7 linked regions of the Macaca mulatta genome follow. The protein of the gene in region 1 interacts with the protein of each later gene in a pairwise test. Links are inferred from orthologs where the notes say so. Each region holds a gene or a part of one and is shown in the gene's direction. Other genes may lie near its edges. The genes, in order: FATE1, SMIM14, RPRM, KCNS2, SLC7A1, TMEM11 and SLC38A1.

The links.
Region 2: the proteins of FATE1 (region 1) and SMIM14 interact in binary tests that used the Homo sapiens proteins (3 or more experiments, as listed by UniProt). The two-hybrid records come from large-scale screens. The link is inferred for Macaca mulatta from reciprocal best matches to the Homo sapiens genes FATE1 and SMIM14.
Region 3: the proteins of FATE1 (region 1) and RPRM interact in binary tests that used the Homo sapiens proteins (3 or more experiments, as listed by UniProt). The two-hybrid records come from large-scale screens. The link is inferred for Macaca mulatta from reciprocal best matches to the Homo sapiens genes FATE1 and RPRM.
Region 4: the proteins of FATE1 (region 1) and KCNS2 interact in binary tests that used the Homo sapiens proteins (3 or more experiments, as listed by UniProt). The two-hybrid records come from large-scale screens. The link is inferred for Macaca mulatta from reciprocal best matches to the Homo sapiens genes FATE1 and KCNS2.
Region 5: the proteins of FATE1 (region 1) and SLC7A1 interact in binary tests that used the Homo sapiens proteins (3 or more experiments, as listed by UniProt). The two-hybrid records come from large-scale screens. The link is inferred for Macaca mulatta from reciprocal best matches to the Homo sapiens genes FATE1 and SLC7A1.
Region 6: the proteins of FATE1 (region 1) and TMEM11 interact in binary tests that used the Homo sapiens proteins (3 or more experiments, as listed by UniProt). The two-hybrid records come from large-scale screens. The link is inferred for Macaca mulatta from reciprocal best matches to the Homo sapiens genes FATE1 and TMEM11.
Region 7: the proteins of FATE1 (region 1) and SLC38A1 interact in binary tests that used the Homo sapiens proteins (3 or more experiments, as listed by UniProt). The two-hybrid records come from large-scale screens. The link is inferred for Macaca mulatta from reciprocal best matches to the Homo sapiens genes FATE1 and SLC38A1.

What each region holds. Positions count from the first base shown.
Region 1 is NC_133426.1:157,958,366-157,960,669, forward strand, and holds the end of FATE1 (fetal and adult testis-expressed transcript protein), read left to right. Parts: intron 1-177; coding exon 178-284; intron 285-692; coding exon 693-771; intron 772-1,415; coding exon 1,416-1,547; 3' UTR 1,548-1,804; downstream 1,805-2,304. UniProt on the Homo sapiens protein: Involved in the regulation of endoplasmic reticulum (ER)-mitochondria coupling. Negatively regulates the ER-mitochondria distance and Ca(2+) transfer from ER to mitochondria possibly implicating it in the regulation of apoptosis.
Region 2 is NC_133410.1:38,769,434-38,772,933, reverse strand, and holds part of SMIM14 (small integral membrane protein 14), read left to right. Parts: intron 1-1,726; coding exon 1,727-1,869; intron 1,870-3,500.
Region 3 is NC_133417.1:58,348,100-58,351,742, reverse strand, and holds RPRM (protein reprimo), read left to right. Parts: upstream 1-1,443; 5' UTR 1,444-1,686; coding exon 1,687-2,016; 3' UTR 2,017-3,143; downstream 3,144-3,643. UniProt on the Homo sapiens protein: May be involved in the regulation of p53-dependent G2 arrest of the cell cycle. Seems to induce cell cycle arrest by inhibiting CDK1 activity and nuclear translocation of the CDC2 cyclin B1 complex.
Region 4 is NC_133413.1:108,804,198-108,808,445, forward strand, and holds the start of KCNS2 (delayed-rectifier potassium channel regulatory subunit KCNS2), read left to right. Parts: upstream 1-1,448; 5' UTR 1,449-1,572; intron 1,573-2,184; 5' UTR 2,185-2,226; coding exon 2,227-3,660; 3' UTR 3,661-4,248. UniProt on the Homo sapiens protein: Potassium channel regulatory subunit that modulate the delayed rectifier voltage-gated potassium channel activity of KCNB1 and KCNB2 by altering their kinetics, expression levels, and shifting the half-inactivation potential to more polarized values.
Region 5 is NC_133422.1:9,489,717-9,493,964, reverse strand, and holds the start of SLC7A1 (high affinity cationic amino acid transporter 1), read left to right. Parts: upstream 1-1,448; 5' UTR 1,449-1,570; coding exon of another isoform or gene 1,571-2,197; exon of another isoform or gene 2,198-3,871; intron 3,872-4,248. Other genes in the region: uncharacterized protein LOC144336222, read right to left, coding at 1,571-2,197. UniProt on the Homo sapiens protein: High-affinity, low capacity permease involved in the transport of the cationic amino acids (arginine, lysine and ornithine) in non-hepatic tissues.
Region 6 is NC_133421.1:22,088,550-22,092,049, reverse strand, and holds part of TMEM11 (transmembrane protein 11, mitochondrial), read left to right. Parts: intron 1-3,103; coding exon 3,104-3,500. UniProt on the Homo sapiens protein: Plays a role in mitochondrial morphogenesis.
Region 7 is NC_133416.1:53,346,873-53,351,053, reverse strand, and holds the start of SLC38A1 (sodium-coupled neutral amino acid symporter 1), read left to right. Parts: upstream 1-1,381; 5' UTR 1,382-1,430; exon of another isoform or gene 1,431-1,435; intron 1,436-4,181. UniProt on the Homo sapiens protein: Symporter that cotransports short-chain neutral amino acids and sodium ions from the extraccellular to the intracellular side of the cell membrane. The transport is elctrogenic, pH dependent and driven by the Na(+) electrochemical gradient.

The sequences.
Region 1 (2,304 bases):
CCAGCAGCCTGTGTGGAGTTCCCAAGCTTTCCTAGAGGCCTGAAGCTGCCAGCCCTTGATTCCAGAGACCAGGCACCATGTGACTCCCCATGGGGTGCACCATTGGTTCTGGGCAAACTGGGGAAGCCACTCACGTGGGGCTGGGCAGGCTACTTTACTGATCATTCCTTTCTTCAGGGGTCCCAGCTGCCAATGCCCAGAATGCTGAGAGAATCAGGCCATGGGGATGCCCATCTCCAGGAGTACCCTGGCAATTTCCAAGGCATGCGTTTCCATTATGATCGGTAAGAGCTGAGGGTCTGTGGGCCCTGGCTGCTCAGACAGGGCCCAGAGTGGGGCGGAGGGGCTGGTGAGCAGCTTGGCCAGGACGGAGTCATGAGGGCCTGGAATGCCTCCCTGTCAGAGACCATGAGCACCCTGGCTCCCTGCCCATTTGGGGCATCCCAGTGCTCTGTGGGCTAGCCGAGTTGGGCTGGGCCAGGCTGGGCCAGGCTGGCTCAGGCTAGCTCAGGCTGACTCCCAGTCCTCAAGGCCCTAGGCCCTCTTTACCATGGGAGAGGACTGGAGGCTCATAGTCACTGTCCAAGAAGTTCCTGACCTTACCTGCTTGACCTCATTGCCTTCTTGTGCTCACTGCCAGGTCCTGCCGGGGCCACCAGCAGCTTTGACCCTCTGTCTTTTTTCTCTCCCAGCAACCCAGGTACAGATGCAGTGGCACAGACTAGCCTGGAAGAGCTCAATGTACTGGAGATGGAAGTCATGAGAAGACAGGTGAGGAGGGACCCAATTGGTGGGTGCAAGCAGAATCACAATGCCTTGGAGTAGTCAGGGCTCAACATCTGGGGTCTTGTAGCCCCTTACAGTCATCTTTCCCTTTAGCGCTGGAGGTAGGGCAGATTCCCTTCCTTTTCCTCCTCATCCCCATGGCTCTGACCCAGGTAGATGTCCAATCTCAAACCTACTGCTGTCCCTGAGATGCTGGCAGGGAATAGGGGCCGATAAAAGGTAAAGGAAGAGGGAACATACAAGGATAAGTGTTCTATGTCCAGAGAGAGAGTGATACCCAACAGTCTGAGAGAGGGGTCGCCTTTGTTCAAATCAAACCCAGACCTTCTCAGGAGGAGACCCTTCCTCCCTTGGCCCCCCGGAGCAGCTGGAATGGGCTGGCCTCTTCCAGAGAATGGAAGTGAGCATCAAGGGAGAAGGCAGAAGTAGCGACTGCAGACGCAGCAGCCAAGTCTTTGGTCCAGCGGACCTGGCCCAGCCCCCTGCTTCTCACTAGGGGCACTCCCCGCTCCACCGCCAAAGGGCAATCAAGCCCCTTCTTGCTTTAACTTTATGCTTTTCCGATGGCTGAGCTGTGGGCTTCTGGAGAAGAGCCTGGCTCAGTAGTCCTCCCTTTGGCTCCTCTGCAGCTATATGCAGTCAACCGGCGTCTGCGCGCCCTGGAGGAGCAGGGCGCCACCTGGCGCCAGAGGGAGACCCTGATCATCGCCGTGCTGGTGTCAGCCAGCATAGCCAACCTGTGGCTGTGGATGAACCAGTGATCGCCCCCGCGCGGCCTCCGTATTGGAGCCCTCCCTGCTTCCCCTTCTTTCTTTCCTCTTTCCCTGGGCCGCCATTGCCCATCCCCCTTTTATCTCCCAGCAGCCCTCAGGCAGCGTCAGGGTCATTTTCAGCTCTGGTTAGGCCTCCTACCTGGGGAGGTCAGGTCACTGCATTGGGAGGTCCTGGCTGCTGCGAAGGTGGAGGAGGACTGCATGGGCTGAGATGCCATCCTTTGAAGGGTGAAGAGCATGGCGGCATCTGGACGCCACAGTAACACCTAGTGGCAACCTTGCCTTCCTGACCTCAGCGGCCCTTCTGTTCCATCCTCTGTGGGCAGGGGTGTGGCTTTGTTTTCCTCCCTCGTTTGCTTCCACCTCGTGCACAACGCTCTGCGCAAACATCATGCTCAATAAAAGTTCCGCCATAGCAGCAAAACTCTGTGGCTGAGGTTCCTGTGTCCAGCACTCATTTGGGGCAACAGTGGGGTTGGGGTGCACTGAGGAACAACAGCGCCTCTTCACAAAGACCTTGTGGCTGGGACTGAGCCTCTGCCATTGCCCCAGGTGCCCTGGTTTCCTCCTCCCTTTCACCTTCCCCGCCTCACTGTCCCCAGCCCCAGCTTTGCAAAGTTCTTCCTGTTGGGCTGATGCAAATGGGTGCTTGTGGGTGTGTGGTTCTGGGAGCATGTCTGGACTGTGTTGCAGGGATGCAATCAGAGGAAATCTCCTGAAAGGGACCAGAAACATTCTCATTTGC
Region 2 (3,500 bases), on another chromosome or scaffold:
ATTCCTGAGCTCAGGCAATATGCCCATCTTGGCTTCCCAAAATGCTGGGATAATAGGCGTGAGTCACCGCATCCGGCCATTTGTATTTCTGAAAATTGAGTTCTCTAATATACTTCAATAAAAAATCTATGTTTCATTTATTAGAAATTTGTTAACCTCATATCAGGCACTGTGCTAGGCACTTGTTATTTCAAATTAAATAAGACATGGCTATGTCAAGGAGCCAGGAAAAACTGATACCTGTATACTTACATACATCCCTGTCTAGCTTTTTCCTCATGATAAATAGAAGACAAAAAATTGATAGAAGATAAAAACTGATTAAATTTTAAAATATCTAGACCTGAATTCAACTTCTTTGTGTGAAAAAGAAGGCCAAAGTCATCTCTTTGGTTGAGACTGTAATTAAAGGGATCTTTTAATGTATATATTATGCAGCCCGGATGTTCCCTTTCTTTTTCATGATGCCTCTGTAATTAAGATGCAGATTTCCCCCCAAAGGAGAGTGTTTTTTCTGTGGTCTTAACTCAGATTCATAGATCTCAGCAAATCTATGGATTCGTGGCTTTGTGGGTCCTTAAACCTTCCACAATTATATGCAAAATTGTGGAATTTGGTATACATGAGTGCTTTTCATATTTATTTTTAATCCAGAATGGATCAAAAAGAACAATCATGAAGGATGTAGGTGCCAGACACAGGGCAGAGGTAGCTAGAAAAGTAGATCTTAGGGAAGTTAGGGCCCCTAGCCTCACTAATCTACAAACATGGCATGGCCAGCTTGCCTTGCAAGGCCTCTGTTGAAGGACCCCATGAATTCTTAAAATAGAGTTCTTAATTTTTATCAAATTCTCAAATGATTCTGTTACCCCAAAATATTAAGAATTAGTGTACTATTAAAAAATTTATTAGAGACTAGTCCAAGCAACATAGTGAGACGTCATCACTACTAAAAATTAAAAAAAAAAAAAATTAGGGGTGTGGGGCTGGACACAGTGGCTCACACCTGTAATCCGAGCACTTTGGGAGGCCAAGGCGGGTGGATCACCTAAGGTCAGGAGTTCAAGACCAGCCTGGCCAACATGGTGAACCCCTGTCTCTACTAGAAATACAAAAATTAGCTGGGCGTGGTGGCACATGCCTGTAATCCCAGCTACTCAGGAGACTGAGGCAGAATTGCTTGATCCTGGGAGGTGGAGGTTGCAGTGAGCCAAGATCATCCCACTGTACTCTGGCCTTGGCAACAGAGTGAGACTCCATCTAAAAAAAAAAAACAAACAATTGTTAGAAACCAGCCCAGGCAACACAGTGTTTCTCCTAAAAACAAAAATTAAAAATTTGGGGCATGGGGCATGGTGGCACACACCTGTAGTCCCAGCTACTCAGGAGGCTGAGGTGAGAGGATCCCATGAGCATAGAAGTTTAAGGCTGTAGTGGGCTACGATTGAGCCACCGCACTCCAGCCTGTTTGATAGAGCAAGACCCCATCTCAAAAAATGAAAACAACAAAAACTTACTAGGTTTTGGTTTATGACTATTTAACATCATTTACTTTTTAGATGTTCTCACTGGAGGAAAGGGAAATTGAAGGTATAATATGTACTTCTTTAATTTATCAATACAATTTTTATATTAACACAATATTTGAAACTGACATTTAAACATTAGAATTTATTTTTACTTTTAACAATGTTGTGAGCATGCTACATTTTTTGTTTGTCTTTAGTACCAGGACCCTCTGGTGATAATGGCATCAGTGTTACTATGATCTTAGTGGCCTGGATGGTTATTGCATTGATCTTGTTCTTACTGAGACCTCCGAATCTAAGAGGATCCAACCTACCTGGAAAGCCAACCAGTCCTCATAATGTAAGTATTGCACATTTTAAATGCTTTTTGGGTAAGGGAATGTATGTGACCTGGGGCAGGGAAGGACTTGGTTTTGACTAAAATACCTATATTAGTTAAATTACATTTAACTCATAGAGTATTCTACCTATGTAGTTCTATTAAATCTTGCAATTCCAAGATTTAATTGATGGCTTAATCTTTGTGGAGTTAAATGCAGAAAGAAGCACAGACCAGAAGCCGAAAATTAATTTGAAAATGAATTCCAATTTTTTTGTTGTTGTTGTTCAGACAGGGTCTTGCTCAGCTGCCCAGGCTGGAGTGCATTGGTGCGATCTTAGCTCACTGTAGCCTCTACCTCCCAGGCTCAGGTGATCCTCCCACCTCACCCTTCTGAGTAGCTGGGACCACAGGCATGCACTAGCACACTTGGCTAGTTTTTTGTATTTTTTTTTGTAGAGATGGGGTTTTGCCAGGTTGCCCAGGCTTGAATTCCAATCTTTACTCGCATGAGAAGCATTATGAAATAATCCATTTCATAATCCACAGCAATATTGCTTAAATCTCAATCCTCCACTACTCAGTTCTGTCCACCTCACAGTTGATCCCTTGCCTCTCATGCTTCTAGCCTCTAAACTCTTAGTAGCTTCAGCTCAAATGTTTGACCCCCTTCTGTCCTAGCTATTCAGTAGAGACACTGAGCCTGTCTGATTTTATTTTCCTCATTTTCCCATCCTATTTCTCTCAAACCCATTTTCCATTTCTGTACCACAACAAATCAACTGAGCTGGCAAAAGGAGAGGTCAGAATCATTCATGTTGATAAATCTTGATAGTCATGATTACAACCATTTTTAGAACCTTCTAAATTAAAACTGTGATAAAGTGACCCAACAGGGAGTTTTCAGTACTATCTTTAATAGAAACTCTGTTGGCCAGGCGCAGTGGCTCACACCTGCAATCCCAGCACTTTGGGAGGCCAAGGCGGGCAGATCGCCTGATCTCAGGTGTTCAAGACCACCCTGGGCAACATGGTAAAACCCCGTCTCTACTAAAATACAAAAAATTAACCGGACATGGTACCCTGGGCAACATGGTGAAACCCCGTCTCTACTAAAATACAAAAAATTAGCCGGACATGGTGGTGTGCGCCTATAGTCCCAGCTACTCAGGAAGCTGAGGCTTGAGAATCGTTTGAGCTCAGGAGGCAGAGGTTGCAGTGAGCCAAGATCACACCACCACACTCCAGCTTGGGCTACAGAGTGAGATTGTGTCTCAAAAAAAAAAAAAGAACCTCTGTTAAAGGATTCCTTTTAATCCTTTTCAGAACCAGTATTTATGTGTGTGTTTTTTTTAACATTGAATTTGAATATTATCTCTTTAAAAATATTTCCATGAGGCTGGGCACGGTGGCTCACGCCTGTAAGCCCAGCACTTTGGGAGGCCGAGATGGGCAGATCACCTGAGTTTAGGAGTTCGAGACTATCCTGGCCAACATGGTGAAACCTTGTTTCTACTAAAAATACGAAAATTAGCTGGGCATGGTGGTGGGCGCCTGTAATCCCAGCTACTTGGGAGGCTAAGGCAAGACAGTTGCTTGAACCCAGGAGGTGGAGGTTGCAGTGAGCCAAGATCGCGCCATTGCACTCCAGC
Region 3 (3,643 bases), on another chromosome or scaffold:
AAGAAACAGAAATAAGAGGATTTACCAAGCAAACAGAATGAAATTTAGAGTTGAAAATGGCAAGACAGCTGCTTTTCAGTTTTATTTTATTTTTAATTGACAAACAATTGTACATATTTATGAGGTATAAAGTGATATTTTGATACACATATATATTGTGGAATGATCAAATCAGAGTAATTAGCGTACCCATTATCTCAAATTTTTATCAGTTCTTTGTGGTGAGAACATTTAATAGAAAATAAATGTATTCTGTTGAAAGCTCAAGTTACTGGTTTCCAGCTGTTACAGCTGAAAGAAAGAGGGAGGAAGGCAGGGAGTAATGGGGAAAAGGAGGGAGGGAAAAGAAAATAGAAAAGGGGGCGCGGGATCATGCAGTATTCTTTCAGAGTTAAGAAACTTAATCTATAGGTTTATAAAATTTCGTTGGAACCTACAGCAAAATCACAATGGCTGAAGCGTCAATCAGGCCCATACAAACATCTGTGTTTAGTTTAAATGACTAAGGGTGAAATGCATCAGCTTATGGAAAATGGGGAGGGCTCCCAGCATTTGGCCAGCGTTTTAGGTGATGGATGTTGATGAGCAATTCCTTTAAACAACTGATTTACTGCCAATGGACAAAATGCTGGAAGCACATCCAAAAATTCATCTGCAATTAAAATTACAAGCAAGTGGTCACTGTGTTCACTTCCTTTACCAGAGAGGTGACCCCTGCTCCCGGCAACCACCTCCACCCAAGGGCCACAGAAGAACTCCTCCTTCCTCTAACCCCCTTTCCTTGGCCTCACACCTCATGATAAAATCTGCCTTGCTCTGTCTCCCAATCGCTTTTGTAAAGGAAGTTGAGTGTAGAGCTCTTTTTTCTCCCTGCCTTCCTTTTTTCTTTCTTTCCTTCCTTCCTTCCTTCTTCCATGCCTTTCTGTCTTTCCAAATTCATTACTTTGTAAGAAACATTCTCAGATCACCTCCACTCCACCAGAAATCCAACGCAGGCGAGACGGAGTCAAGCACAGGCGGTGGGCGGGTGGCCTCAGCTGGCACCATCTGGCACCTGGGATTCATCGCCACTTTCCATCAGCCCAGAGGTCAGGGGGACAGCCGGCAGAGGACACGCAGAGCTCGTGTGTCCCAGTTCCTCTGAAACTTTCAGCTGACCGCACCCTCCCCCGCCAAACTCTTTTAATCATCCATCAAGCTAGAAGAGTACGATGACCTCTGCCTGGCCTTCGGAGTTTGCAAAAGAAGAAAGCAATAAAAAGCAAGACCAGGTTCGCCCCTTTGCTTCCTCCACCGCCCAAGAGTAGCGCGCAGCGCGGCGGTGCGGCCGGAAGGGGCCGCTGTTTACTCAGTGCAGCCGCCCCGCCGCTGCAGCCGCCGCTGCCCGCACCTCCCACGGCCGGGCTGGTCCAGCCCCGCCAAGTTCCAACAGCCCCCAGTCGAGCGAGCGCCGGGAACGAGCACCGCCCGGGCTGGAGCGGACGGCTTTAGAAGAGCCTAGCTGCTGCGCGCGTCGGAGAGGCTCCTGGGAAACTCCCACGGCCCAGGGACTTTCGAAAGCAGAGCTAGGAGCCCTTGCAAGCGCTAGTCTGCGAGTGAGCGCTCAGCTCGGCACCTGTTCCTCCAGCGCCGCCGCCTTCCCACCCCTCGGACCCGCGCCGCTCGCGGCGCCCGCCCGCTCCTGCGATGAATCCGGCCCTGGGCAACCAGACCGACGTGGCGGGCCTGTTCCTGGCTAACAGCAGCGAGGCGCTGGAGCGAGCCGTGCGCTGCTGCACCCAGGCGTCCGTGGTGACCGACGACGGCTTCGCGGAGGGAGGCCCGGACGAGCGCAGCCTGTACATAATGCGCGTGGTGCAGATCGCCGTTATGTGCGTGCTCTCACTCACCGTGGTCTTCGGCATCTTCTTCCTCGGCTGCAATCTGCTGATCAAGTCCGAGGGCATGATCAACTTCCTCGTGAAGGACCGGAGACCGTCTAAGGAGGTGGAGGCAGTGGTCGTGGGGCCCTACTGACCCGCCCCTCCGCCCCCGCGGCAACCGCTCCCACGCCTGCCCACTTTGCCAGCCCGGCTGTGCCCCTCACTGTCAGAGACTGGGCGAAGCAAACCTGTCGGAGTCAATTATTTCTCTCGACTTCGGCCTTTCGGAAAGAAGCGACCGGTTTCTCCCTCGCCCTCTGAAAGTCCTCATGCCTGGCAGTCGGAGGAGAGCGCCCGGACTTCTGGACTCAGCAGAAAGTGGCAAGAAGAAGGCGATTAGGGCGCAGAACTTTGGAAGCTGCTACTTACTTGGAATGCGGGGAGAACGACGGGGCGCAGGCCCTTCTCCACCCGCAGGTGGGCCAAGCTCTGGGGGCAAGTGGAGAGGGAGGGCAGGGGAGAGACCCAGCGGCACTGATCGCCTTGTGACCGGAAAAATGACCTGTTAAAAGCCACGCAGCAGACATCATGGGGTCTCACAAATCCGTGTCCGGGTGTGCTCCCACTCTTCTCCTGCTCCCCACCAGCCCTGGAGGGGAGAGGCGATAAATACCTTTGATTGTAACGTGCTGTTTTAAGAGGTTTTGTGTTTGTTTGCTTGAATACAAATATTTGATAAGTCTTTTTCTGCCCCAGTGGCCTGTTTGCCTGCCTGAGGGGTTAAAGTTTTGTCGTTGTGGGAGAAGGGGTGGGGGGAGGGGAGCCTGCGACTTTGAGGGGGGTGAGTTGTTTCTTTTAGTGCATTTCCCACTGGGTCTTTTGGGAGGTGTCTAGCGTTCCTGCTGGCCCTGATACAAAGACCCAGAATAGAACTCGTAGCTCGTGACTGCACGGTTTACGCCACAAAAGTGCTCTTGACATCCGTGACACCGTTTTGACTTTTTGTTTTTTTTTTTTCTTATTTAACATTTCCTTAATAAATGCAACATTTAAGCGTTTTGTTCCTGGCCTCCTGGTGGTCATTCTGCGCTCCCCAGCAGGGGGGGAACGGGGCGGCGGTGCAGAGTCTGGCTCCCGGCCAGGGAAATTCACCCTAGAGAGCTGCGATTCAACTTGTGGATCCCATGGAGGGGCGAGGGTGGGGCCAGACGGAGAGGCCCTGGGATGACTGAGACAGAGCCCAGCCTCAGGCACAGTAGCCGTCCTGGAGGTAGCATCCTTTGTTTCCTCTTATCGTGAATATTTTATATTTCATTTAGTCTCAGCTCTCAGATAGGCGAGACTACAGGAGGGCCCCCGCGGGAAGATTACACTTCCGTGCCAGGCTCCGGCGGGAACACAGGATTACACCGCTAATGAAAGGAAGAGAAGGCTTGGACAGCCTTTACGGAGAGCGTCTCTACCCTAACCAACGTCAGCGAGGCGGCTTTGGGATGCTGCCCACGGGCGGGGCCGGGGCATGGGGAAGGGGAATTATAAAATGCAAGGAAAAGTAGCTGCTAAGGTACACAGTGACGTTAATGCTCCCTGGGGTAAACCATTGTTACTAAAACATGAGATGCATTACTGTCGTTGCTATATTACTTTTTCTGGCAAAAAAAAGACCAGGTTAAAATAAAGGTTCAGCCTGTTCTTTGTAATTTAGACTGCCCCAGACCAGGCAAAGGGTTGAGAGGAGTTAGCCGAGGTCCTGAATGTGGGAGATGAGTATTACAACCCCA
Region 4 (4,248 bases), on another chromosome or scaffold:
GGGACGGCATTGCCAGAATTGCCTAAAGAAAGAATGTGCTTCCCACTGTGGCTGTGGTGTTTGCACCATGAGTCCAGAGCCACCTTGCAAGGGCATTCCCAGGACTTCTGACGGAGACATGTAGACGCTAGCTCCCTGCTAAGCTCGCACACCCACGGTGCCCCAGTTTTGCAAGTGGACACCACAGAGAAAGACCAAAGGGAGGGGGCTGCCCAGGGACTGGGTCCATTTCTCAGCTCAGCCCAGTAGGCAGGGCCTTAAGGACAATCCTAGGAGACCAAGAGCTCAGATCTGGGCCACAAGTCTTCTTGGGAATGGGGACGCAGATCCTGAGCACATCTACCAGTCCCCACTCCAGCTCGAACCCCCCAGTCCCCACTGTTGGCACGCACATCGGTCTCAACGTATTCCACACACATAAGTCCGTCACAGTCCCAAGAATACTACACTGTACACAGCACACTGTACACACAACACACGGTTCCCCATGCCACACACCGCGCTGACACACGTCCCAGGGCTCCCCTGTGCCGACGCATCTTCCCATCCGACAGAGGACCCATTTTAATGAATGCGGTACACACAGTGAAAAGTCCTGCTGTCCTCAGCCTATACACACACACAGCGCCCTGCAGTCCCGCACAGCCCGCATACCACACCGGCCTGGACACAAACGGTGCCCACACAGAGCTCCCGACCAGAACTCAGCGACTCCTGCCCCCGCTGTGCGGCCTGCGCTACCGTCCCCCGCGTACTAAGCCGAGCTCCACCTCAGACTTCCCGGCCCCCTGTTTTCTCCTCCAGCTCCTTTTCCCCAACAACCCCACCCCCGGTCTTCGGGAAACTTTTCTTCAGGTCCCTAAAAGGGGAAACCTGGAGTTCCTCCGGTCCCGCCCTGTCCCCGGACACGCGCAAGCCGCCCTTTATTTCCCAGCCCGGCTCCCGCCAGACCCAGCGGGTAAAGGTCACCGTGGGCAGCCCCCTGCCTGCGCCCTGGGGGTGGTGATAATAACAGCTGTCACCGGGGGATGGGCGGGGGGGAGGGAGGGGTGTCGGCCCCGCGCCGAGCCGGGGGCGCAAGGTGGTCGCGGTGACGCGCCGGGGAAGCGCAGAGAAGCAGCGGCGGCGGCGGCTGCGCCTTCCGAGCCCGGGGCGGCGGCCGAGGCGCGCGGAGCTGTCCGTTCAGCACCACCGCGCCGCGCCCAACGCAGGGCCCGCGCCCGGTCACACCCGCTCTGCTCCCGCCCGGGTTCACGGGGCGCCTGCGGCGCGGGCTCCTGCTTCTTTCGGCGGGTGACGGGCGCGCGGATCCGGAGAAGGGGCTCCGCGAGCGGCGGGACCACGCAGCCACCTGTGAGCCTTCCGCAGCTGCGGGCGGCGGCGGCTTGCCCGGCCCGAGACGGGAGGAGAAGCTCGGCGGCCCCCGCCCGCCGGCCCGCCGGGCGCACACTCGGGCGCACACACTCGCATCCGCGCACGCACCGCCAGCAGGCAGCGGCCACCGCCGCGATGCTCGCCCGCGGGTCGGGGAAGTTTCCCGCCGGCCTCGGCCGCGGGCGCCCGTGCTCCCAGGTAAGCGCTTCCAGAACGCGCAGGGCGAGCCCGGGCAGCCCCGCCGGGTGAGGCGCAGCGCACGCGGCCCTGGGGCATAGCGCCAGGCGGGTGGTGAGACCTGGGCCGGGGACGCGGGGGCTGCAGGCTTGGGAGCTGGACCCAGGGGAGGCCGGGCCGCCCCGCTCTTTCCCCGGCCCGGGTTTCCAGACTCCAGCGCATCCGCCCCAACCTCCCAAAGCTACGCGCCCCCCATGTCGGCCCCGCTCTGCCCGTGCGTATTTCAGCTCTGGTCCCTCCTGTCTGCGGCGAGCGGGCGGGGGCGTCTCCCGGGCCTGCCCATGGACAAGGTCAGCACGCAGCCCCCTGGGCGCTCAGAGCCGCGGGGACGCGACGCTGCACGCGCAAAGCGCCAACCGAGACCCCCGGGGTGGAGCCGTGCTAATAGAAACATACCTACCCCCAGCCTTTCCTGGGAGGGGGCCAGACCCCTCAAACTCTTGCCCCAGCCCAGTGCCCTTCAGCACCCAAGACCCACCTAGGAGGCTTGGGCCCGCCAGAAATGGGTAGGGAGAGGGGGCGATGGGCCGGGGCGCACGGCCCTCTTGCCGATGCTGTTCCCTCCGCTTCCAGGTGTAGCGCCCCCGCGCGGCGCGGGCGGCCGGTGCCTCCAGCATGACCGGCCAGAGCCTGTGGGACGTGTCGGAGGCCAACGTCGAGGACGGGGAGATCCGCATCAACGTGGGCGGCTTCAAGAGGAGGCTGCGCTCGCACACGCTGCTGCGCTTTCCCGAGACGCGCCTGGGCCGCCTGCTGCTCTGCCACTCGCGCGAGGCCATTCTGGAGCTCTGTGATGACTACGACGACGTCCAGCGGGAGTTCTACTTTGACCGCAACCCTGAGCTCTTCCCCTACGTGCTGCATTTCTATCACACCGGCAAGCTTCACGTCATGGCTGAGCTGTGCGTATTCTCCTTCAGCCAGGAGATCGAGTACTGGGGCATCAACGAGTTCTTCATTGACTCCTGCTGCAGCTACAGCTACCATGGTCGCAAAGTGGAGCCCGAGCAGGAGAAGTGGGACGAGCAGAGTGACCAGGAGAGCACCACGTCTTCCTTCGATGAGATCCTTGCCTTCTACAACGACGCCTCCAAGTTCGATGGGCAGCCCCTTGGCAACTTCCGCAGGCAGCTGTGGCTGGCCCTGGACAACCCTGGCTACTCAGTGCTGAGCAGGGTCTTCAGCATCCTGTCCATTCTGGTGGTGATGGGGTCCATCATCACCATGTGCCTCAATAGCCTGCCTGACTTCCAAATCCCTGATAGCCAGGGCAACCCTGGCGAGGACCCTAGGTTCGAAATCGTGGAGCACTTTGGCATCGCCTGGTTCACATTTGAGCTGGTGGCCAGGTTTGCTGTGGCCCCTGACTTCCTCAAGTTCTTCAAGAATGCCCTAAACCTTATTGACCTCATGTCCATCGTCCCCTTTTACATAACTCTAGTGGTGAACCTGGTGGTGGAGAGCACACCTACCTTAGCCAACTTGGGCAGGGTGGCCCAGGTCCTGAGGCTGATGCGGATCTTCCGCATCTTAAAGCTGGCCAGGCACTCCACGGGCCTCCGCTCCCTGGGGGCCACTTTGAAATACAGCTACAAAGAAGTAGGGCTGCTCTTGCTCTACCTCTCCGTCGGAATTTCCATCTTCTCCGTGGTGGCCTACACCATTGAAAAGGAGGAGAACGAGGGCCTGGCCACCATCCCCGCCTGCTGGTGGTGGGCTACTGTCAGTATGACCACAGTAGGGTACGGGGATGTGGTCCCAGGGACCACGGCAGGGAAGCTGACTGCCTCTGCCTGCATCTTGGCAGGCATCCTCGTGGTGGTCCTGCCCATCACCTTGATCTTCAATAAGTTCTCCCACTTTTACCGGCGCCAAAAGCAACTTGAGAGTGCCATGCGCAGCTGTGACTTTGGAGATGGAATGAAGGAGGTCCCTTCAGTCAATTTAAGGGACTATTATGCCCATAAAGTTAAATCCCTCATGGCAAGCCTGACGAACATGAGCAGGAGCTCACCAAGTGAACTCAGTTTAAATGATTCACTACATTAGCTGGGAGGACTTGTCACCCTCCACCCCACATTGCTGAGCTGCCTCTTGTGCCTCTGGCACAGCCAGGCACCTTATGGTTATGGTGTAAGGAGTATGCCCAGCCCCTGAGGGGAGAGATGCATGGGATATGCACCCAGGTTTCTTTTGCAGTATTTAGAATCGTTTTTAGAGGGTGGTGTGTCTGACACCATGCCTTTGCACCTTTCCATGAAATGACACTCACTGGTCTTTGCATCGTGGGCATAAAATGTTCACCTTTTTGCCAGATGAGTACACCCAGAATGCTAATTTTTCTGTTCATCGTGTACGCTATTCTAGTGCTTGTGGCCCAGTACTGTCTATGAGTTGTTGTGCTCCTGTTTCTGAGGTTGTCGTGTGAGTTCTGTACAAAAAGCCCCCACAAGTCTGTCCACTGGAAATGCATCTATGAGGTCAGCAAGGATATCATGAGATTTTTGCTCACAGTCATGTGAAAACAAAATCTCAGCTCTTTATTCATTACTTTCATTTAGTTTTAATACCAAAACAAAGAGAATGCAAAGTTAAGCACACTTGACCAATGCAAGTCTTAAGTTGTTTTTATAAATG
Region 5 (4,248 bases), on another chromosome or scaffold:
TAGTCCTAGATGCTAGTGGAGGTTGAGGCAAAATGATCGCAAGACAGCTGGTATTTGAGGCCAGCCTATGCAACATATCAAAAACCCTTGTCTATATATAAAAAAAATATTAACTAGGCGTGATGACACAAGCCTGTAGTTCTATCTACTTGGGAGGCTGAGGCAGGAGGATCACCTGAGCCTGGGAATTTGAAGTTACAGTGAGCTATGATTGTACCACTGCATTCCGGCCTGGGTGACAGAGTGAGACCCCTGTCTCTAAAAAACAAACAAATGACGACAGCAACAACAACAAAACACTTTTTCTGAAGCTAGCACCATGCAATTATGTACTTTATAAATTGCTAGTCTAATTCCAAGGGAATAGTTCAGCAGCTGACATTTGAGAAGCACCTGTAGAAAGGATTCAAAGGCCACGGACACCGTCCACTGTTTTTGTTTTCCTACAAGAAGAAGGATGGCAGTATTAATTTATGCCCTGCTTACCTATCCCAAGTCGTAGATCACTGAATCTTTAAAGATTATGATTCTTGCTTGGTTTTTGGTACCAAAGGAGACAAGGAAGGAGCTTAAGAGGTGAGCACGGTGTGATTCAGGACTGAAGTTTCTGCCACTTCCTGGGAGGTAACTGCAAAAGTGAGCCGTTCTGACTTAGCTGTTTGTGCATTTGCCACCGCCAAGGGGGCACTGGTAGATTCAAGCTTTGGGGCTCTTCTGACAACTGGCAAGGATAAAGTATTAGCAAGGGCAAGGGAATAGCAATAAAATAATCCAATAACAAAGATATGAAGATTTATAGTAATTTTTAGGCCGGTGCAGTGTTTCAGGCCTGTAATCCTAGGGCGCTTTGGGAGGCCCAGGCGGGAGGATCACTTGACCAGGATTTCGAGGTTAAGGTGAACTGCGCTCCAGCCTGGGCAACAGGGCAACACTCTGTCTCTAAAAAGAAAAGACAATTTAAACCCTTTACGTGCATACCAAATCTTATACCAGAAGGAAAACTGGTCTCGAGCTCCGTGTGAGCTCCCTGGGGCCCGCCGGGACGGGGTTGGCACAGCCGGACCTGCGGCACTAGTTCTGGCCGGGCGCTGTGGGATCTGCAGGGGACCATAGGATGCTGTGGCGCGGCGGGCTGAGATTGGCGGAGAAGCGGCCACACGCCTGCCGAGCTACTGAGAAGGCGAGCGGAGGTGCACCCCGCCCGCCCTCCCGCCCGCCCGCCCTCCCGCCCGCCCGCCGCGGGAACCGCAGGTTGAGGCGCCGGGCGCGCGAAGACTCAGCTGCCCCGCCCACCAAGGGCGCGTCGGTACTCGGCCGCCGCCTCTGGGCTGGCAGCCGCCACCGCGCCGCGCTCCCATTGGTGCCCGGCGGTGACGCGGCCGAGCGGGCCGGGGCTGCCTGGTCCGTAGGCGGGCGCGGGGAGCTGGGCGCGAGGGGCGGGGGCCGGGCGCGCGGCTGATGAAACCTGGCGCCGGATTCCGCCAGTCCTCCGCGCCCATTCAGTCAGCGCGGGCAGGTGTGAGCCCCGGGTCAACCGCCTGGCAGGCGCGCACGCGGCCACCGGCTCCCGCTAACCGCAGCCTCCACTCCTCTCCCCGCGCGCCGCGCCTCCGCCCCGCCCAGTCTCCCCGGCCGAGCGTCCGTTGGTCCTTGAGCGTGTCCGACTGTCCGTCCACTGTCCTGCCGGAGCCCCGCCGCCGCCGGCTCGGTGAGTGCCCGGCCCCCGCCAATGCAGGGGGCAGCTCCTTGGGCCCGGGTTATCACGAAGGCGGCCCTGGCTCTGCGTGGGGCCACGGGAGGGCGGCGCGGGAGTGGCGAGGGTCCCCGCGCCGGGAGCGCTGCCATCCTCCGGGAAGGGCCAGGACCTGGACCGGGCGGGCCCTGGAGTGGGCACGCGGGGCTGGTGCCCATGCGGCTGTCGCCTCCACGGAGTCCATTTTGGCTCCTTGAAGCCGCGGCGTGGTGTATGATGCAACACCGAGTGAGTAAGCGTGGGCGACCTGGCGATGCCCGCCCCGCGCGCCTGTCCGGGGACCCGCGCGCCGCTACGCACCGGGTGGTCGGGGTGGGTAGGTGGGCGGCGGGTGCACTGGCCAGCCCGGGAAGCATCCGGAGCCCGCTGGCAGCGAGGAGACCTTCCCTTACATGGCGCGGTGCAGAGCACCCCGCCCCGCCACGAGGTCCGGGGATGTGTCATCAGCCTTGGGTGGGGACCCTGCCCGGCCGCCCCGAGGGTGGTCCTGCGGCAGGTGGCCCGCCCGGGGACTCTGTCGCCATCCCCGCCTGGTGGTCGCCCTGACCTAGAGCACCTAGCCCTCCGCTTGTTCCTAGAACCCGGGACGCGCCGCCTGCACCTCTCGTCTGGGTCCCCAATATTGCTTCGATGAAGTCTCCCCTAGGTGGGCTTCTTTGTGACCCAGTGTGGCCTGAAAAGACCGGGTTCCTCAGGCCCTCCACATGGTTTGGAGTGAGAGGAAGTTCTTCCGCCTTTGGGAAGACACCGTATTCTCAGGGTATTCCCTTCTGCGTAGTAGAAAACTTCCCGGGCATGGGCAGGTCACAGTCATTCTAAAACCTACGTGTATTCAGAGCGGCAGCTGCGCGGTAGTACTACAACGGCCTGTTGGTTCAGCTCCTGACCCTTTCGAGGGGATGGGGGACCCAGATAGCAGTTGTGTTTGACTTGTGTGACTGGGATAGTCAGACATGTGCCTTCAGGAAAAATAAATAACCTGCATTTCCCAATACTCACGTCATCACCGCCATGCCCTCATGTGTTGGGTTTTAGTCCAGACATAGTTACCAGATGGTTGGGATTTCAATCCCAGGTGTATCTCCCTAAAAAATGTGCCTTTTATTTTCCATTCGACTAGTAGAATTGTGTATGTCGGCCTCTGGCTGAATGCCCTAATTGTATTTAATTCGAATTATAATTTATTTGGGATTTTTCTTAATATTTCTTGCCCTTTATGTTTGGTTCAGATAATAGGTAACCATGAAACATTTATTCCTCTGGTATTTTTAGTTGGTGTCAGTGGAAATTATCGTGATTTTCATATGAACACACCTTCCTGTTATTAAAACAAAAGGTCTTATTTAAGTCACACGAACAGGATAGAAACTTAGGGGAAAAGTCAACAATAGGTTAAAATAGTTTTAAAAATAGGTTTAGCATATTACGATCACGTTTAATTATTATAAAGGTAAAATTCAAAGGATGTCAAAGGAGTTTTGAGTAAAGAGGATACGGCTTAATAAGTGGATCAGAAATGTACTCCCTTGTCTGGGTCTGGATCCTAGAGCCACATGCTTCTGTGCATATGATTACTTGCTTTAGGTGAAAAAAAAAAAAAAAGGCTTGAAAGACAAGGTTGTTGACTTCAGGGAGTTTCAATTTTCTATTTGGTAGAAGAACTCATTCTTTGATGGAATTAAATACATGTTGATTGATTATGCCGGTCTGTAGTTTATTTTAACCAAAGTCCATACAAATAGGTAATTATGTTGGAGGGCTCAGAATTATGTCCAATTAAATTAATCCTTTCTCATTATCAACCATGTATTTGGAGAGATTGCTGTTATTCCGAGGGACAAATTTGAAATGTGAATAAGTGCATCCTTGTTATGGAGAAAAATATTTTTTTCCCTCTAAACCTTGGAGATACTTGGGTCTCGGAGTTATCTCTTCCAGAGGCATCTTCAGAGATGCCTGTCACTCCACCTGCTTCTTGGTCCTCACTCCAAGCAAGACGTTCCGATGGGTTGTGGTGTTTTTCTATATAGTTGGGCCCTGCAGACCTGGACAGATTTTAAAGCAGATCCAATAAGATTGGCCAGTGGATTCATGGAGGGTGAGAAAGGTCAAATATGACTCCAAGCACATCAGAGTTGCTGTATTAATGAGATGGGAAGGCTGAGCAAAGAACCTGTTGGATGGAAGAGGGACTTTCTGAAAGTCACAACTGCCCTTTTTAGAACTCTCATCCCCAGGGTCAGGGCTAGAAGACGTATCTTCTTGGAGCCCCTTTCAGGTGCCTGCCTGTGTGTTGCAGCCAGCCGTCCAGGGTGCTGGCGTCCTTCCCCTTCACCTAGCCTCACTGGCTCCTCTCGCCAAATCTGGGGGGTCTCTTCAACCTCTGGCTCCTTGCTGCCCATGGCCTCCCTTTGCTCCTCTGCCGCCTTCTAGTGGGCCACCTGGCGGTGGGCTTGTCCTGTGGAATGGGGACCCTCTAAACATGGGGTTCAAAG
Region 6 (3,500 bases), on another chromosome or scaffold:
CACACCACTGCACTCCTACCTGGGTGACAGCGCAGGAACCTGTCTCAAAAATAAAAGCTGTTGAATCCTGCCTGGGAGTAACAGCTGGCCTCTCCCTCACCTCTCCTCTCAGACCACATGGAAAAACTCCACCGAGGGCTTTAGAAGGCAACCCCTCCTTTCCCCACAGAAGCTGCTCGTGCAGTCTTACAGTAACAGCTCATCAGTTCACCCCTGGCAAGGCAGCCACGACACTGGCACACAGTCACAGGCGGCTTGGCAGCAACCCAAGTTTAGGAGGCTCTTGTCCCACCCGCAGCGAACTGATTTCTCCCCAGTGCATGCAGTTTAATGAGGGCCTATGATTGAATTAGGAGGCTTTGCCTTAGCCCAGCTTCGTTACAGTGACTTTTGCAGGATAAAGAGTTCCCTTTGCCCAGGTCCAAGCCAGTGCCTTTTATGAAAGTGGTTCCCACCCAGGGGGTAGGGCCCCCATGTTTGGGGGCACAGTCAGCCCATTACTAATGACTTTCATCTTGAATGTGGCCACATAAGATCGTTCACCAGTTGTTCATCCAGCCAGCATGAAACCCAGCCTGTTAGGTTTGCTTCTTTGTTTGCTGAAAGCTTTGAGCTGGGAGGAGTCTCAGTTGTAGGGAGGACCGTGATTGCCTGTTCTTTTTCCTTGAAGTTTACCCTGACAGTCGGATTTCCACCATCCTTCACTTGGAACTGCTCCCATCTTTGAAGGAGCCTGGAGGGAGTTACCTTCATGCTGGGCTGAGGGTGGCTTGTTATGAGTCTTCACTCGTCGCTCCCATGTTGTGGCCGATGGCCAGGTGGCTCAGCTCCCCATGACTTTCCTCTGCACAGGTGCGCAGCCAGGTGTGCGTGCCAGGACAGGCCGGGCGGACGGGACCTTCGCGTCTGTGCACACTGAGGGCTGTGCTTCTCGTTGGCCCCTAAAGGAAGCTAGTTCCTGTCAGAGCCTCAGGTAGATGGGCCACACTGACCCTTGTGTGGCCTAGTACACTGTGCCAGAGCCTCCCAGTGGGAGGGGCATGGACTCCGGCAGGGGAGCAGTGACCAGCAGGTCCCTAGAGCCTCGTGTCCTTTAGTCAGATGAGTTTGACCGTCCTGGGGACCGGGGTGTGCTGAGGGAAGGGGCAGCTTTGCACTGAGGAGCATGGCTCTGCCCAGCCGGAGGAGCCATGAGTTGGAAAACTTGATCCAGCCTCAAGAGCTGTGTCTAGCAGTGTCCCTGTCAGGGCTCAGATCAAGACTTCTCGCGGATGAGCAGATAATGGAAAAGCAGGATGCAGAGTGGCGTTGCGGAGATGCAGAAAGATCTGTCTCAGCTGGCCGGGCGCGGTGGCTCAAGCCTGTAATCCCAGCACTTTGGGAGGCCGAGGCGGGCGGATCACGAGGTCAGGAGATCGAGCCCATCCTGGCTAACACGGTGAAACCCCATCTCTACTAAAAAAATACAAAAAAACTAGCCGGGCGAGGTGGCAGGTGCCTGTAGTCCCAGCTACCCAGGAGGCTGAGGCAGGAGAATGGCGTGAACCCGGGAGGCGGAGCTTGCAGTGAGCCGAGATCCGGCCACCACACTCCAGCCTGGGCGACAGAGCGAGACTCCGTCTCAAAAAAAAAAAAAAAGATCTGTCTCAGCTGAAACCAGCCAAGGAAAAATGACAAGGCGTGGGTAGCCCTGTATTCAGGCCTGCCCGCCACAGGTGAAGAAGATTCTGCTTTGGGTGGGAAATTTGGACTGCAAGGCCTGAAACCAAGAAAAGCCAGAATGCCTAAAATGCAGCTTGGCCCACGGTCACTGCTGGGGCTGCCACCGGGCTGCTGTCTGGCCTTGCTGCAGAGCTGCGCCTTCCATGTGGTGGATCTGCTGCTGCTTGGGGTCATGGCATGCACCCCAGTCCCAGGGGGAAAGCCCCTTGTGTGTTCTCTGTGGATGTGTTTCTGATGCAAATGAGTGGCATTTGCCGGTGGGGCAGGGGCCTGGGCCTGCAGGGCCGGAATCGGTGGCATTGCTGGCTGGATGTTTTGAAGCCCCTCAGTTGACCCTCCTGCCCGCTACGTTTGGGGGCCGCTACTGTCCTTGAAGTGTCGTCTTTTCCTAAGTCAGGGAAAGGGTCGCTTTTCCTATGCAGTGGGCTAGTGTCCTGGGTCTCCTGTTCTCCCCTCCGCGGTGGGGAGGAGCAGGAGGCTGCTGCCATCCGGGAAGGGCACCCAGGGCTCGTGCAGCCCGGCCTCCCAGGAGAGCCAAAGGAGTTTGGATTTTGCCCAAGGCAGAGCTCTTCCATTGTGCCTCTGTTCTGTGGGCCCAGGATGACTACTTAGGAACCGTGTGGAGGGTAAGGGCTTAGCATGATCTGTCCTGAGGCCTGTGGTTTGCAGTGAGAATCCTCCTGCAGTTGCCCTGATTAAGAGCGGCTCTCAGGCTGTTGGCCTCGTGCTGCCGTGTGCGCCCATGTGACTGTGCGAATCCTTCTTTCCCCTTTAGGCTCCTTTGCTGACTCAGATCAGTTGGTCCACAGCCTTAGGCTAACCACCAGGCCTGCGTTTGTTCTTTTAAACATCGAGGTACTCCTTTTCCTGCCTTTTTATATCTAAATTTTTTTTTTTTTTTTGAGACAGAGTCTCGTCCTGTCACCCAGGCTGCAGTGCAATGGCACGATCTCGGCTCACTGCAACCTCTGCCTCCCAGGTTCAAATGATTCTCCTGCCTCAGCCTCCCGAGTAGATAACGGGGATTATAGGCATGCGCCACCACACCTGGCTAATTTTTTGTATCTTTAGTAGACATAGGGTTTCACCATATTGGCCAGGCTGGTCTTGAACTCCTGACCTCATGATTCACCCACCCCGGCCTCCCAAAGTGCTAGGATTACAGGTGTGAGCCACTGCGCCCAGGCTTATTTCACTATTTCAGGAAAAGTACTTTTTACTGATTGTCTTGTGTTGGGATCTGAAGGAGATAAGGACCTCAGGGAGATGTGCTCTCCGCAGTGCAGGCTCAGACCTCCCCCAGCATCGAAACACAGTTAAGTGCTGCTCAGCCTAATCATCCTCTCTCTCTCTCTCCCTCTCCCGCCCCCTCCGTCAAAAGGGTGAGCTTGTCGGCCACAGACTGCTACATTGTGCACGAGATCTACAATGGGGAGAATGCCCAAGACCAGTTTGAGTACGAGCTGGAGCAGGCCCTGGAAGCCCAGTACAAGTACATTGTGATTGAGCCCACGCGCATCGGCGACGAGACGGCCCGCTGGATCACCGTGGGCAACTGCCTGCACAAGACGGCCGTGCTGGCGGGCACCGCCTGCCTCTTCACCCCGTTGGCGCTGCCCTTAGATTATTCCCACTACATCTCCCTGCCCGCTGGTGTGCTGAGCCTGGCCTGCTGCACCCTCTATGGGATCTCCTGGCAGTTTGACCCTTGCTGCAAGTACCAAGTGGAGTACGACGCCTATAAACTGTCGCGCCTGCCTCTGCACACACTCACCTCC
Region 7 (4,181 bases), on another chromosome or scaffold:
CCCAGTTGCCCCTGTTCCCCTCCATCGCGCTCCCTTGTCCCCAGGACTTGGAGCGCCCCAGCTCAGTTAACCTGGACGCACCAGGTCCTTCGGTCGGAACCACATGGGGTCTCCAGGCCCTCTAAGAGCTGGCCCCCGCCTCTTGCGCCTAGGCCGGTGCTTTCTCGGCGCTCAGCAGATCCTTCTGGTTGCCTCACACCCAGTCCCCAAAGCAGAGCTCCACAGGGCAGATCTCAGGAAGGGCTTGCCAGGTCTGCGGATGCTGGATCCGGAAGAAGGGAGGTGCCTCCCGCTTCAGGATAGGGACAAAGGGTTTCTAAAGGTGCCCGAGCTCCCCGCTCCCCCTGTCGCTTCGTTCCCCTTCCCGCCAACCCGGGCCATCTGCGGGCTGTACCCAGGGCCAACCCTCCGCTCCAACGCTGCTCGTAGTCCCAGGCGCTCCCCGCTGCTCTCCGGGCTGGGCTCGGACCGGCCACTCCCGCGGCCATCCTCATGCTGCGCCCTTCCCACAATGCAACTCCCTCGCTCCTTCGGCCCCGGCGGGGCTCTGGCGTACCCAAAATGCAGGCCCCAGCGAAACGCACAGCCCTCCTGTCCTCCTCCGGTGCCCCTTTAGCCACTCCACCCCCATCTCTAAGGGCTCTCATTCTCCAGCTGCCGCCGCAGCTGGGTTCCGAACACGCCGCCGGGCCCCGGGAGGGAGAGGGGCAGGTGCCAGGGCGGTGCGCAGCCTCCGCTCCCGGTGCCACCTTCAGTGCGGCGGGCACACGCGCGCCCCGCAACCCCTCCCTCACCCTTTCCCCGTTGCTCAATCTCCGCCAGCCGCGGTCGCTGCATCGTCAGAGAGCTGCAAGAGGGAGGCAGCAAGGCGCGGCCGCTAGCAGTGACACCATGTGACCGGCACGGCTCAGTGACACGCAGCTTTGGTTAAAGAGCGGGCGCACAGGAGGGGAGGAGACGGCGCGCGGGACAGGGAGGAATGTCCTGTCCCCCTTAAACCATCACAAGCCATGGTTGCGGAAGGGCCACGCGCCTCCCAGTAGGAGAATGACTCCGATTCGTGACCCTCAGCGCGGGTGCATGTGGATGTAAGTGCGAGGCCGGCGAGCAGAGTGTGAGTGGGGGTTGGTGGTGAGGGGAGATTCTGATGCAATCGGCCCGGAAAGGAGGAGGAGAGACAGGCGAGCGCGGACTGGGGCAGCCACGCCACTCCGCCTGAAGGTCGCCAGGAGCCTCCGCCCTTCACCTTCCTCGGAAATCCGCCAGGCCACGCCAAGCTCCCTGCCCAGCCCTGACTGACGGGAGCCACCTTTTCCCGGCCTCCGCAGCCAGACCTTGACACAAAGGACATCAAACTGCCGAGGGTAAAAACCCCGGAAGGGCGGACACATCCACGTCGCCTTTCGCCACCTTTCCCTTTATCTGCGGAGGTAAGGTGATTATCCGTTCCCTGGGAGGGCTGGGCAAGCGGCGAGGGGATGTTTAGATGTGGGAGGAGGCGGTAACGTAGAAATCATCTCTGCTGGCGTGAAAGCAGAGAGAGCTAGGCTGTGCCGGATGCTTTCGGATGTTGCTTTTAGGAGAGGAAAAGTCCAGGTCTCCTGTGCTTCCCGAACGCATGCGGCAGAGCGAGGAAGCGCCAGGGCCCCCGAGTTCACCTTTGCGTGGGCTGTGGCTTACTTTTTGGTTTGTTTTCCTGTGGCTTTGGTGTGTTTTCCTGTGGCTGTGGCGGAGTGTGGTACCAGATCTGGTTCCATTTTTACGAGGGCCGGGAACCACGCAGGTCTGGAGGGAGAGCGCATCTGACCCGAGGGCGCGACCCTGTTATAGGAGTGTTTGAATCCCCGACCTTTGGGGAAAATTTCCTGTGTCCCCAAGGCCCAGGGGAGATCGTGTGATGTCCTGGGGTGCTGCGTGTGGCCGGCTGGGTAGCCGCGGCGGACCACCAGTAAACCCGGGCACGTTTGCCGTCCTTCCTGGTGCTCTGCCCCTCTGTAACGCGGGGAAGTAGGAGGGCGCGAGGAGAAATTACTAAAGGATGTTTGCAAGTGACTCACTGTCCTTTCCTGCCCTGAAGAGGTTTTTCTAAAATGCAGAGGGTGGCGGGGGACAGGGATAGTGTTTTTTCGAGAGTCGGGATGTGCTGGAGCCAGCGAACAAAAGGCCACCTCTTGCGCGGTCTTGGGCGCTGACTGCTCTCGCTTCCAGTCCTACCTCCTTCCCAACCCCCGACAGCAAGCTCGCGTCCCTAAACATCGCCACAGAGGCCTTTAAATGCGTGGATCGGTGCCGGGAGGAGAGCGCACCTTCGTCCTTGTGCGAGCCCTTTGCCCCCTAAATTACCCACCTCCCGGAGCATGGGGCTCCTCAGTACCGTTGGGATCCGGTAGGTTACCCGGCTGCCTGGGCGCCGATTCCCTGCCAAATCGCCCGCCCGAGGTTTTTGCTGAACTGTAGTCAGTGAAGGCACAAGTGCATATGGCAGCAAAAGGAATTTCGCGGTAACCGCGTCACGCCGCTCCCAGTGCCTTTCACAGGCTGCCTTGGACTGGGGAAGGTGGTGCTACAATTCAGAGTCCTTTGTCTTGCTCTGCGGCGCGGACCCGAGGCTTATACAAACCCTCGTTCTCTGTTAGAAACTAACTGCCGCCAGGATTCGTTTACTTTCTCAGACGAATCCACGGTGATATATGTAGTAACAGTGAAAAAAGACGCCTCTGCTAGAAAACGGTATTCATTTGCGTTTGGAAGGGGTTTTGACCTCTCTGCAGTGGGTTTTTACATTTTTAAATACAAGGGGGAGGAGGAAAATACATTTATGGTTTGCAGAATGCAGGGCCCAGCGAGAGTGTAATTTGTCACCTTGATAAAAGAAACTGTGCAGCAACTCGTGCTTTTTCTGACGTCAGAAGGACAACGGAAATAAAACCTGAGCTCGGTGCATGGCTGGCCTCGTTGTCAGATACCTCATGCTAGTTTGGTCCTCCCGAAATCTTGCAAAACAGCCAATTCCGGGGTACTGACCTGGTGTGGACCCCCTGGATTTTGGTTCGACCCCAGCCTCAAAATGGCTTTTCTCTTGAGAGTCACTCGAGTTCTCAGTATGTTGCCGCAAGCAATTGGAAACTGGCCTAGTTTGGTTTGAGGTCTTAATCTTGAGATTTATTCGCTTTTTAAAAAAACGTGGCCAATAAACATTTTCTACAGAGGGTTTACTGTGCGACTGGTAGCAACTAACAAGATTTGTTTCACCTTCTATGAAGCTTCCGTTCTCAGGGGGAAACAGACTATATAAATGTAGGCATATACATTTCGGGTATTCTTAGTGCAATGAAGAAGTAAAACAGGATCATGTGATGGGGGAGGATGCTTGAAATAGAGTGACTCACCGGGAGGGCCAGTGTGAGGGTATAACATTTGTCCTCAGACCCGAATGATGAAAAGGGACCAGCTATTTCTATAATTGAGGGAAGAAGGCCAGCAGAAGGAACAGGAAGAAGGAACAGCAAGTACTTACTGCACTCTTCTTTGACTGTAATATAATTGAACAGAGAGATGAATAGATTTTAAAGGTGTTTTGGATCTTTAAACCTATATGTATGTTGTTTATGTATTTTTTTTTATGATGCTCCATGAATTAAGGCCGTTTAATGAAAGGAGCACCATGTTTAGGAGTCCTGACATCGGACGGTTGCTACTCTTTTCCTTACTCTGGGTGATGCTTGTGGACAAAAACCGATTTTACTCATTGTTCCTCTAATGTCCAGCACATAGTACCTGCTTAATAAATACTTGTTGGATTGAGACCTTGGTCAAGCCATCTTGTTCATCTCTTTGTGATGTTATTGACCATCCCTTCCTTTCTATATCTCATCTGTTCCCCTTCTCCTCAGTTTGAAAATTACAGTCTTTCTCTTCTCTGCTTCTCCTTCTCTTACTGCCCTCCCCACTTTGAGCAGTGACCAGGCCCTTGAAAATACCCCTCACACTTGTCCTCTTGTCTCCATTTCCACTGCCCAAGTTCAGGTCCCTGTCACCTGACCTAGACTTGGAGACATATGAAACAGATATAGAGGTGCCTTCAACAATCTCGGGGAAGTGGGAGTGGGCGGTGGAGAAAAATGCAAGCACAACACATGGTTAAGAGTGAAACAGCCAGTTACTGAGGTGCAACAGCTTTC